3 linked regions of the Coturnix japonica genome follow. The protein of the gene in region 3 binds, or shares a complex with, the protein of the main gene of each other region. Links are inferred from orthologs where the notes say so. Each region holds a gene or a part of one and is shown on either strand. Other genes may lie near its edges.

Region 1 (3,644 bases), on a different chromosome or scaffold from region 3:
CTATTTGCTGCTACTTCAAGGGACAAAACTGCCCCAAAGGACCTGAACGTTACTGTAAGTAATGAGAAACATAAAATAATCAGAGCCGATTCTAACTGGCATCAATCTTTAGGAGAGACACAGCTCTGTATCTTAATCAGATCGCACCCACAGTACTAAGAAGCATGTATTTGGATCAGTATGTCTCCTTCAAGTTTATGGCCTCAGTATCTGAAGAGGTTTTATGTCCTTTAAGGGCATATTAAACTTAAAAATGGAGACACTGTGTGTGATAACCCCCCTGAGCACGTCCAGAGGGTTCAGTTTTAATGAGTGCCTGTTGCATTTTCCATCACCTGACTGAACTTAGCTCCTGCTTCTTTGAACCTCTTGTTGTTCTCGCAGGAAGCGGCGCTGACATGCTTTAAAAGCATACAAATAGCTTCTGCTGCGATGAGCTCCTCGAGATATCCTGCTCTGTTTTGTTGTAAGACGCATTTCGGTTCACGAATGCCTGAGCTAACGAAGGTAATGCTGAGACAAATCCCCAGCATTACAACCTGTTTTTCCATTTGTTTGCTTATGATGCGCAAGATCTGATTCTTTGGCACTTCAGCAACGTCTGAGGCCGGAGGTAGGTGTGACAGCAGACCGAGTGTGCAGCGTCCCTCAGGGGATGCTCAGAGCTGGGCTGCGGCCAACCTCATACGTTCAGTGCTTTGAACTTCGTTATTTCATTAAGGAAATGGATTTGAGGTTTGCCACCGGTTCGGCATCCATAATGTGCAAACACCTTCCGTGCTGTGTTCATCTCCTTGCTGCAGTGGGACGCACACAGGTGTGTGACCCCGAGCGCCCACGATTGGGGCAGGTCAAAGCCGGGGGGGATTTCAGTGCAATTTCTCGGTTTAAAGGGAGGGATGAGATGAACGTCGCGAGTGAGGCGGTGGGAAAACAGTACTGAGACGCAAAGCTGTCGGGACGTGCAACCTGAAGGAGGCAGATTGCGCACGGGATGGGAGTTGGGCAGAAGTCACCGCGCTGAACGGTGCTCCCTCCTGGGGAGATGCCGAGCAGCCCGGCTGGAGGAGGGGGAAGGGGGGGACGTTTGCAGGCACCGTGCTGACGGGGGAGCGCCCCAAAGGGACCTCAGAGGGACCTGCTGATGGGAGAGCCCCCCGGAGGTAGGGCCTTCCGTGAGGGGAGCAGGCGGGGAAGCGCATCGCCCCGAGGGTGCGGAGCTGGGGAGGATCGCGGGCAGCGGCGGCCGGGGACAGCCGAGGGAAGAGGAGCAGCGCCCGGAGCTGGGAGTGGGAAGCCGTCCAGGGAACGGCGGGGGCTGCCCGCGCCCATCGCCCCGCGGAGCATCCCGAGCCCCGCGCCTTCCCCGCCCCGTGCCATTGCGCCCCGTCGGTGGGGCCCGGAGACGGCGGTGGAGAGAGCGGAGGATCGGGCGGAGGGAGCCGTCCCGAGAGTGGAAAGTTTCCCGGAGTGACCTCTCCGCGTACGCGCCCGCTAGGAGATCTCATTCAAGTGTTTTTGTCAATGGGGAGGAGGGGGGGCCCGCGGCTCCCCGGCCCCCGGCCCCGCTGACGTCACCGCAGAGGCGATAAATATCTGTTGATATAATTGGACGTGAGATTTGGGGTTGCGATAGCGAAACTCGGCCCATCGCCGCTCCGACGGGCCCCCATGATTTATTCAGCAGTGGATCGGGGCACGCAATCGGGCTGTCAGGAGAGCGTCAGCTTATTAGGCAAGTTCTGCGTGATTCCAGGAGAGGGTCTAAGCTATAAAAATCCCTCGCCCCGGCTCTGATTAGGACCAAATCTGATCACAAGTTCGCCGGGAGGAGGCTCCGAGGCAGAGCCAGAGGAAGGACGCCGGGCACCGCCAGGCACAGCCGGGCACAGCCGGGCACAGCCGGGCACCGCCGAGCCCCGCCGCCTGCCGCCGCCGCCGCCCCAGGTAGGAGCGGGGCCGCGCTCGCCCCGACGGCGGGGGCCGGGCGGTCCGGGCGGCGGCGGGCGGGGGCGGAGTGGAGCGGAGCGGAGGGGCTCGGGGGGCGCCGGGGCCGCGTTTCAGCACCGGGACAGCGGCCGCGCTGCGTGCCCCCCGCCTGACTGCGGCCGCATGTGACCCGCGCGTGTCCCCCACCCGTTCGCCCCGCTGCAGGTCTGGCCCCGACCATGAAGCTCCAGCCGCTGGTGTGCGCGGGGATCCTGCTGCTCGCCCTGCTGCCCTGCCACGAGTGCCGAGCGCTCAGCAAGAGCCCGGGAGCCGCCCGCGGGGCTCTGCAGCAGCCCGATTTCTTCCCGCAGCAGCAGCAGCAGCAGCAGCAGCAGCAAACTCTGCCCGTCCTGCTCCGCATGGGAGAGGAGTACTTCCTACGCCTGGGCCACCTCACCAAGCGCCCCGCCGGCCTTTTCTCCGCCTCCTCCGGCGGCCACCTCCGGCCCGAAGCCTCCGCCGAGTTGTTGCGGGCGGCCGCGGCGCAGCTGCAGCGGTCGGGGAGCCCCGAAGGGGACGAAGGAGCGGGGGAGGCGGTGGAAAGGGAGAAGCGCTCCGAGGAGCCGCCCATCTCCCTGGACCTGACTTTCCACCTGCTGCGGGAGGTGCTGGAGATGGCCCGAGCCGAGCAGCTGGCGCAGCAAGCCCACAGCAACAGGAAACTGATGGAAATCATCGGGAAATGAGGCGGCCCCCCCGCGCCGTGCCAAAGGGACCCCGCGGTCAGCACCAGAGCCATCACACCGCCCGACGTACCATAGTGCTGCTCTGATGTCATCTCTTTATTTTTATAGAGCTTCGAACCCCGAAGGGCGCGCTCCGAGCCGCCGCCCCCCCTCAGCATGCGCGGACGCGCGGTGCCGCCGGCCCCCCCACCCCGACCCTTATTTATTTCTCCATTTCCCATAGCGAGAGGGCTCCGCAGGGACGGCCGGGGGCGGCGGGGAGCACGGGGAGCGCCGTGCCGGGGTGGGAGGAGGGAGGGGAACCTCTGTCCGCTACTTCGAGTCCACTTTTACCCCTGTACGACATTTTCACAATAAAACATCTTTTCAGCGCTCGGTCGATTTTGTTGTGTAAGAGAATGTTTAATATTTATATTTTTAATAAAAGCTGCAAAGGAACGATGGCTGGACACGCTTTCTTGCCTGCTGACACCGTGGGCCGCCCGCCCCGACCGGGGGTGGTGCAGCTCTGCGCTCCTCTCCGCCGCTCGCTGCGGGCTGCCGGCCCCCTCCGCCCCCCACGGGTGGCCGGGACGCTACCGGGACCAGCACCCCGCAGCAGATCCTCTTCCTGGACGGACGGGAGCGGGCAGCGCTCCGCTCTCTGTCAGCCCCAAAGCTCTGCGCAACCCTCAGCCCTTCCCCCGAAAGTTCCCCCGCAGGAGCGTTTTCTGGAGGCAATAAGCACCGATCGGGGCTGAGCCCCGTCCCCGCAGACCTCAGCAGCTCCGCGCTCGGCCCCAGCTCAGGGCTCGGCTCTGGCACCGAGCTCTCTGAAGGAAACCCCGTCTCCCTCGAGCATTCTGTCACCTTCAGTGCGTTAGGAGCGCTCCTTTTAAGACAGGAATTTTGTTAGAAGAATCACCTCAACGGTTCAACTTCTGCCGTAAACCCAACATCTGCCCCGTGCTGATGGGGTTTGTCTGTCCC
Region 2 (3,076 bases), on a different chromosome or scaffold from region 3:
GTAACTGGAGTCGGGTGCCCCAGGTGGGCTGGGTGCCCCAGGCTCCGTTCTGGGGACATCTTCACCCCCACTTGGGGCACATCCGCCTCTCCCCACGTAGAGGGAGCGTCACAGCGCATCCATCACCCCAGCGCTTGCTCTCCCCGTTCTGGGCCGCCGGCCAGTGCCGGGATGAGGCCGGATCCTGGCTGAGTCACAGCCAGGCTGGGCAAGGGGATGGGTTGCGTGCTACGTTCCCCTCTTGTCCCTGACATTTGTGACCCCAGGGGGCTGCACCAGGGCTGGTGACAGGAGCTGTGCCCCAGACCTGCTGCAGGGCTCCTGGCTGCCTTCTGCCCTCACGCTGCTGCCCTTTATGGGCACATTCCCATGCAGGGGAAGGGGGACCTGCCCTGTGCCCAGCTTGGGGAGACTGCAGTCCCTGCCTGCTGCGTGCGGGGTCACAGCTGTCCCTGCACTGTTCCTCTGCCCCCAACTGGGCCAGGCTGTGTGTGGGGTGGGGTGGTTGCAGGGCTGCTCCCTGCGCTCACGGCCTCTACCTTCCCCAGGACTACATGGACGCGCTGCTCACCAACTACTGTGTAAGTGCTGAGGATGGAATCCTGGGTTGGATTCCCTGATCCCGTGGCACAGAGCTGCCTGCGGCCCCTCATATCGCTCCTCCCCTCTGCCCAGATTTGGCCGCCGGTGCAGATCGCCAACTTCTACTTCATCCCTCTGGCCCACAGGTAGCAGCACAACCCCATGGCCCCACAGCTCCCGCTGCCCATGGCTGTGTCTGCTGAGCCATCCTTCGCTCTGTTCCCAGGCTGGCTGTCGTGCAGTGTGTTGCCATTGTCTGGAACTGCTACCTGTCCTGGAAAGCAAACCGGCTGTGAGGGGCAGCTGTGCTCCAGGTGCCCCCACCCACCAGCTCTGGAGCCTCAGTCGGGGACTGTGTGTGGGGCTGGAGTGCCGTGCTGTCCATCACGGGGATGCTATGGCAGCGATGACCCCGTGGGGCTGTGGGACCGCTCTGTCTGTTCTCTGTGCCCTGCCCAGCACAGGAGATGCTCCGTCCTTCCCCAGCCTCACTGCTGGCTCACACCCCACGTGTGACAGTGCCCTCCAGTACCTCCACTGGGACTCGGGTCGGGCCCTTCAGGAGCACCCAATAAAAGCTCCGCTCCGCTGCCCCTGTAACGCGTGAATTATCGCCCCCCCGTCACCCTGGGCCTTTTGGGGCCGGGGATTCAGCCCTCGGCCCGTCGTTTCCCATCGTCGCCGGGCGCGGTGCCGCGGTGCCGTATCCCCGAGCCGCATGGCACCGCGCTCGTCTCTATGAGTCACGCCTTTGGCCACCGCCGCTTCCTCGGGGCCGTCTGCAGCGCTTGGCCGCGGCGTGCTGGACCGGCGCGGTGCCATGGGGGGTGCACCGGGGGGGAGGAGGAGGACGGGGGGTGACGTCGCGTGGGTGCGGGGTTCCGGCACCCCAGCTCCGACGGGGAACGCGGCCCCGACGGCGCAGAGCCCCGCACCGCCCCTTCAGCACCACGGACAGCGGCACCGGGATCGGGGTGCGGTGTAAGAGCTGTGCGGGGTGCGGGACGAGAACGGGCACCGGAGAGATGCGGGTCCCGAGGGGCCGCTCCCGGTCCCGGTGCGCTCCGAATCCGCCGTCCCCCGTAGCCCCGCACCCCCCGCCCCCGCCCTGTGCGTCCCCGCCGCTGACGTCAGCCCCGCTCCGGGCCCCATATAAAGTCCCGAGCGCGGCTCCGGCTCAGCCCCGCGGGGACGGACGGAGCTCCGCGCAGCGCACGGCGCCCAGAGCTCGGAGCAGCGGTACGGGCGGTGCGGAGCGGTGCGGGACGGGGCAGTGCCGGGCGGTGCGGGACGGGACGGGACGGGGAGCGTTCGGCTTCGGGGAAGCCCCGTCGGGTGCGGACCCCGCGCTGACCCGCAGCCCCGCAGGTGCGGACGAGCCGAGATGCGGCGGGCGCTGCTCACCGTTCTGCTGCTGCTGTGCCGCCCGTTCCCCGCCGCCCCCCGTCCCGCCCGCCCCGACGGCCTCGACGGCCCCGGCTCGGGAGTCCCCGCGGCGGAAGTGCGGACCGAAGCGCTGTGGCCGCCGCTGCCCGCAGAGCCGTGGAGGGCGCGGAGGGACGAGCCGCCGCTCTCCATCGACCTCACGTTCCATCTCCTGCGGCACCTCCTGCTGCTCGCCCGCGCCCAGAGCCAGCGCGCCCGCGCCGACAACAACCGCCGCATCCTCGACGCCGTGGGACGCTGAGCCCCGCGCCGGGACCGCTCCGACGGGTGCGCGGCTGCCGGACCCCCCCCGGGACGGCTCCGCTCCGATTTTGTAATAAAACACTGCAGAAAAGCCGTAGTGCGGACCTGAGTGTGGGGAACCGTCTCCATCTCCGCTGCGTCCCCACCTTGCCATACTTGCAGCCCATGGTAAGACCCTCCCCGAGCACCCCCCGTTCCAGGCTGAGCATCCCCGGTTGTGCCCCCATCCCCACCCCGCAGCCGTCACTGCCCCCCGTCCCCTTCTGCTGCTGAAGGCCCAACGGCTTTGGGTACGGCACTCGGGCTGCACACTGAGCTGGGGGCTGTGGGGCACAGAGACACCCAGTCCCCATCCTCGTGCATCAGCAGTGACGTGGGGTGACTGACGTGGGGTGACTGACGTGGGGTGACTGACGTGGGGTGACTGACGTGGGGGGCTGACGCAGCGCGGTGCAGCAGTGGGGTGGGGGCACAGGCCGTGACCCACCGGTAATTGAGGCTCTGTGTGCTCAGCCCAGCGCTGTTTGCTCGGTGCACCCAAGGGACGGTGCTGCCAGACGGAGCTGCGGGGGTGGCAGACGTGGGTGCTCCCCCCAGACATGGGGCTGCAGGCAGAGCACAAAGCCCTGGTACAAGGGAACCCCGCAAGCACCTCATCCCCACACACCACACCTCACAGTGTCCACTCGCTCAGTTTAATGAGGGCTGGGGGCAGCCCCACCACGTGGGGCTTCATAGCAGTCGTAGGGCTGTAGGGTTTGCTGGTGTCAGTGCTGTGCCGTGAGTCCAGCTCAGTGCTGACCTG
Region 3 (3,645 bases):
GTTAAAAGGCCAAGGATTTGTAATGTGAGTTCTCTTGGTCCTAGGCTGCATGGTACAGGTCAGCACATCCTCCACATTTATTACCCTCTTCTGCTTCTGCAGCTCCTTACCATGAAAACAGAACAACCCAAACTCTACATCTCCCTCCTGGCAATGAAATGAAGGAGCTATTTAGGAAGCTGAGAGGGATGGATACCAAGAATTACAAGCCCCTGTGTAGGTCAAGCCACCCCTCAGAACAAAGGAGAAGAGATACAGGCTGCTCTTTTACGGCTGATAACCACCTCTGGTATTTAGGATGCTGATATCTTTTGCCAGGAATAGTTTTCTCACTCAGTTAATTGCTAATTCACAGGTTGGATGATTGCCTAACAGCAGGAGCAATCAATTAATTTAATTATCACTCATGCCTTCCTGTGATCCCCTGTTCTCTTTGCCCAAATTCATCCCAGCCTCTCATCTGCCCCAGGGCTAAAGGGAATGAACAGAGACATCAAGCATCATGCTGCCAGTGAGCTTGGCTGAGTTACAGCAGGGTTTCCCCTAGATGATGTGTCAGGGATGTCCTAGTACTGAGCAGGGCTGATGTAGGAGCAAGATGTGAAGTACCCAAGCCCGTTGCCTGCACAGGTTTGTATATTTCCTGCCTAAATTAGCCCCATCTACAGTTTCCAGCAGCTTCTTCACAAGGTGGACCCCAATGGGTTTCTGCAGAGCAGCTCTGGGAGGTGGAGGGTTTGGGATCCTATTGACCCCTCTCTGTCTTCTTCTCCACAGAAGAAGAGCAAGTTGCATTACCACATCGCTGTCATCATCAACTACCTGGGGCACTGCGTCTCACTGGGGGCCCTCCTTGTGGCCTTCGTCCTCTTCATGCGCCTGCGGTGAGAGACTTGACCTGCTACGGGGGGATGAGCCTATAGAGGTCCCTTCAGGTGGGGGCAGACCTGGAGACCTGGTATTCTGCTGTGTCCCTTCCATGGCCATTGATTTCTAGCCACACTCAAGTCTGAATGCCTGCCTCAGGGTTATTTTCTTCCCTCTACTTTTTAAAGCAATGACTTATAGAGGAAGAGAATCCTACTTGGTGCCCTCCATCACCTGGCCACATCACGCAAGGCACAGCCCCAGTGTCTCATCACTGGGCTTTGGGTTCCTTTGAAAACAATCAGCCCTACAAAGAGCCTTGTCTTCCCCTGCAGCCCACCTGGGTTCTGTCCACAGGCAGCTGTTGTGCTCTCTGATTTGTCCCCCCCATTCTGCAGGAGCATCCGGTGCCTGAGGAACATCATCCACTGGAACCTAATCACAGCCTTCATCCTACGCAATGCCACATGGTTTGTGGTGCAACTCACAATGAACCCAGAGGTGCACGAGAGCAATGTGGTAGGTGGGAAGCTCAAGGATCTTAGAGACAAGGCCACAAAAGCTGACTTGAGAGGTCAAATAGTGCTACTTGGTGGCTGGAAAGCAACCAAGGCTTATGGGAAACCTGGGCACAATTGCTCTGCTGGGGTCTGTGTCATGCTATGGCTCAGTTTCTTCACTGTAACACAGAGCTAATGTTGGTTCTTACTTTGGCATCAAGAAGCAGCCGTGGTGATTTGTTTATTGTCTCTTTGAAGTAGTTCTGCTCTTCACTGCATCTCCTAAACTCTTGGCAGGTCTGGTGCCGCTTGGTCACTGCTGCCTACAATTACTTCCATGTCACCAACTTCTTCTGGATGTTTGGTGAGGGCTGCTACCTGCACACAGCCATCGTCCTCACCTATTCTACTGACAAGCTCCGCAAGTGGATGTTCATCTGTATTGGCTGGTGTAAGTACCAGGGCCCTCCCCTACGTGCAATGAGTGATACTCACCCCTATCCTCTGCTCCTGCTCTTGTTTTACCTAATGGTACTTAAGGATGTGCTTTAGTGGGCATGGTGGGGATGGGCTGATAGTAGGACTAGATGATCTTGGAGGTCTTTTCCAACCTGAATGATTCTATGATTCGAAACAGCTCCCTTCAGGAACATGAGAGCAGTGCATGCCCATATCAGTTTGCCTTGTGCAAGACCATCATCATTTGGCTGCAGTATTGCTCTCCTGAGACCTGTCTGTGTGTTCATCTGCAGGTATCCCCTTTCCTATCATTGTCGCCTGGGCCATTGGGAAGCTGTACTACGACAACGAGAAGTGAGCCTCTCTGCTCTCCTTCCCCCTCCCCTATTGCAATTCCCTGGTCATGCAAGGAGCTGGCACATCGCAGGCATGGATGTACCTGCAGGAGATCACAGGGAAAGGGTGCAAGGAAAAATGATATTCTCCCATTCTTTCTTTTATCCTGCCTTTAGGCTCACTGCAGCACGCACCCTTCCTGCTGCTGCATTTTTCCTTTCAAACTGCAAATGAGATTTTTAAGAAGGGAAAAGGCTAGATTAAGCCACAGCTCTTACAAAGTGTTTGCTAAGTGGAGCTGGGATTTAATCTACCGGTAGAGATATAAACTACCACCACCTGAGCCATTTTCACAGAGACTTGTTAATGGAGGACTTAACAGGAACCTGATGAGTTCATCATGGGGATGGTGGAACTGAAAAGAGCCTGCTCCAGTGAATGCAGCTCGCCTTGTTTTGCAGCACTAGTTTTGCCTTGTGACTTGAGCATCCTTACTGCACACAGGAGAAGGAATGATTAACCAAAATTCAACCAGATGCTCTCAGGACATTGATACCATTAGCTCCTATGGGGTTTGCTGGGGACACAGCCAACCCTGTGTAAGGCTGTCCTTCCTTACCCCACAATAACCAGTTCCCACTCTCAAATAGGACCAGTATAAACCTCCCTATGTAGTCTGGTGTGTGGGAGAAGCTGTTCCATAGCAGCTACTCCCAGCTACAGCAGCCTAAGTCTTACTGCCTTCATGCTATGACAGTGACCTACGGACATTGTGTAAGGGTCAAAGTCAACCTTGTCACTTGTGCTGCAGGCTTGTCCCTGACGCTTCCTGTCCCTGACACCACATGTTCCCAACACTGTCTGCCTTTGCCTTACAGGTGCTGGTTTGGGAAGCGAGCAGGAGTTTATACTGACTACATCTATCAAGGTCCCATGATCCTGGTGCTTCTGGTAAGGGCATAGTGACCTCGCTTGCTATATATCAGGTCCTTCCCATCTGTATGTGGACCTGGGTCTTGCCAGCTGTGCTGTCCCATGGCAGCAATGCTTTGCAAGTCAGGCTCCCTCCACTCATACAGCACCCAGCTGTGATGAGAAACATCGTGTGGATCCTGACAACTTGAGGTGGGCTGGAAAGGGGTTCTGATAGGGATACCTCCATTAGCAGAATCCTACAAGCACTGATCAGTCTCCACATCACTGCTGACGCATTGTTTGGGTGCAGGTGTGTGTTCTGCCAAACATCAGGAGTTGCCTCAGCCTCACTCTTTGCTCTGCAGCAGTTTGCTCCTGGCCACTGGCTGTGCAGCAATGCTTGATCCAGAGGTCAAACAATCTACTGGGACTTCACTTTCTCAGGAAGGGGCAAATAAGAGCAGAGTTGGCAGGTCACAAGCATCAGTGCCAGTATCAGATCAGCATTTGCAGGACAAAAGCTGTGCACAAGGTCCCTGCAGCTTCTCCTCCTTCCACTCCCAATGCT

What was found.
Region 1: the proteins of CRHR1 (region 3) and CRH are in contact, whole or in part, in a cryo-EM structure (PDB 6P9X), measured with the Homo sapiens proteins. The link is inferred for Coturnix japonica from reciprocal best matches to the Homo sapiens genes CRHR1 and CRH. Residues at the interface, in NP_004373.2 of Homo sapiens: Lys113, Tyr116, His117, Ala119, Val120, Asn123, Trp169, Val172, Gln173, Met176, Ser177, Pro178, His181, Thr192, Tyr195, Asn196, His199, Phe203, Phe260, Gly261, Lys262, Tyr267, Tyr272, Gln273, Met276, Ile277, Leu280, Tyr327, Phe330, Phe331; in NP_000747.1 of Homo sapiens: Glu156, Pro157, Pro158, Ile159, Ser160, Leu161, Asp162, Leu163, Thr164, Phe165, His166, Leu167, Leu168, Arg169, Glu170, Leu172, Met174, Arg176.
Region 2: the proteins of CRHR1 (region 3) and UCN are in contact, whole or in part, in a cryo-EM structure (PDB 6PB0), measured with the Homo sapiens proteins. The link is inferred for Coturnix japonica from reciprocal best matches to the Homo sapiens genes CRHR1 and UCN. Residues at the interface, in NP_004373.2 of Homo sapiens: Leu106, Asn107, Glu109, Lys113, His117, Val120, Asn123, Trp169, Val172, Gln173, Ser177, Pro178, His181, Gln182, Thr192, Tyr195, Asn196, His199, Phe203, Phe260, Gly261, Lys262, Pro264, Tyr270, Tyr272, Gln273, Met276, Ile277, Tyr327, Phe330; in NP_003344.1 of Homo sapiens: Asn84, Pro85, Ser86, Leu87, Ser88, Ile89, Asp90, Leu91, Thr92, Phe93, His94, Leu95, Leu96, Arg97, Leu99, Leu100, Glu101, Leu102, Ala103, Arg104, Thr105, Gln106, Gln108, Arg109.

What each region holds. Positions count from the first base shown.
Region 1 is NC_029517.1:104,167,195-104,170,838, reverse strand, and holds CRH (corticoliberin), read left to right. Parts: upstream 1-1,536; 5' UTR 1,537-1,947; intron 1,948-2,154; 5' UTR 2,155-2,168; coding exon 2,169-2,675; 3' UTR 2,676-3,113; downstream 3,114-3,644. UniProt on the Homo sapiens protein: Hormone regulating the release of corticotropin from pituitary gland. Induces NLRP6 in intestinal epithelial cells, hence may influence gut microbiota profile.
Region 2 is NC_029518.1:95,414,473-95,417,548, forward strand, and holds UCN (urocortin), read left to right. Parts: upstream 1-1,481; 5' UTR 1,482-1,821; intron 1,822-1,950; 5' UTR 1,951-1,966; coding exon 1,967-2,269; 3' UTR 2,270-2,458; downstream 2,459-3,076. Other genes in the region: protein Mpv17, read left to right, coding at 549-581, 809-1,189; TRIM54 (tripartite motif-containing protein 54), read right to left, coding at 3,063-3,073. UniProt on the Homo sapiens protein: Acts in vitro to stimulate the secretion of adrenocorticotropic hormone (ACTH). Binds with high affinity to CRF receptor types 1, 2-alpha, and 2-beta. Plays a role in the establishment of normal hearing thresholds.
Region 3 is NC_029542.1:1,750,589-1,754,233, forward strand, and holds part of CRHR1 (corticotropin-releasing factor receptor 1), read left to right. Parts: intron 1-777; coding exon 778-884; intron 885-1,265; coding exon 1,266-1,386; intron 1,387-1,664; coding exon 1,665-1,818; intron 1,819-2,119; coding exon 2,120-2,180; intron 2,181-3,040; coding exon 3,041-3,113; intron 3,114-3,645.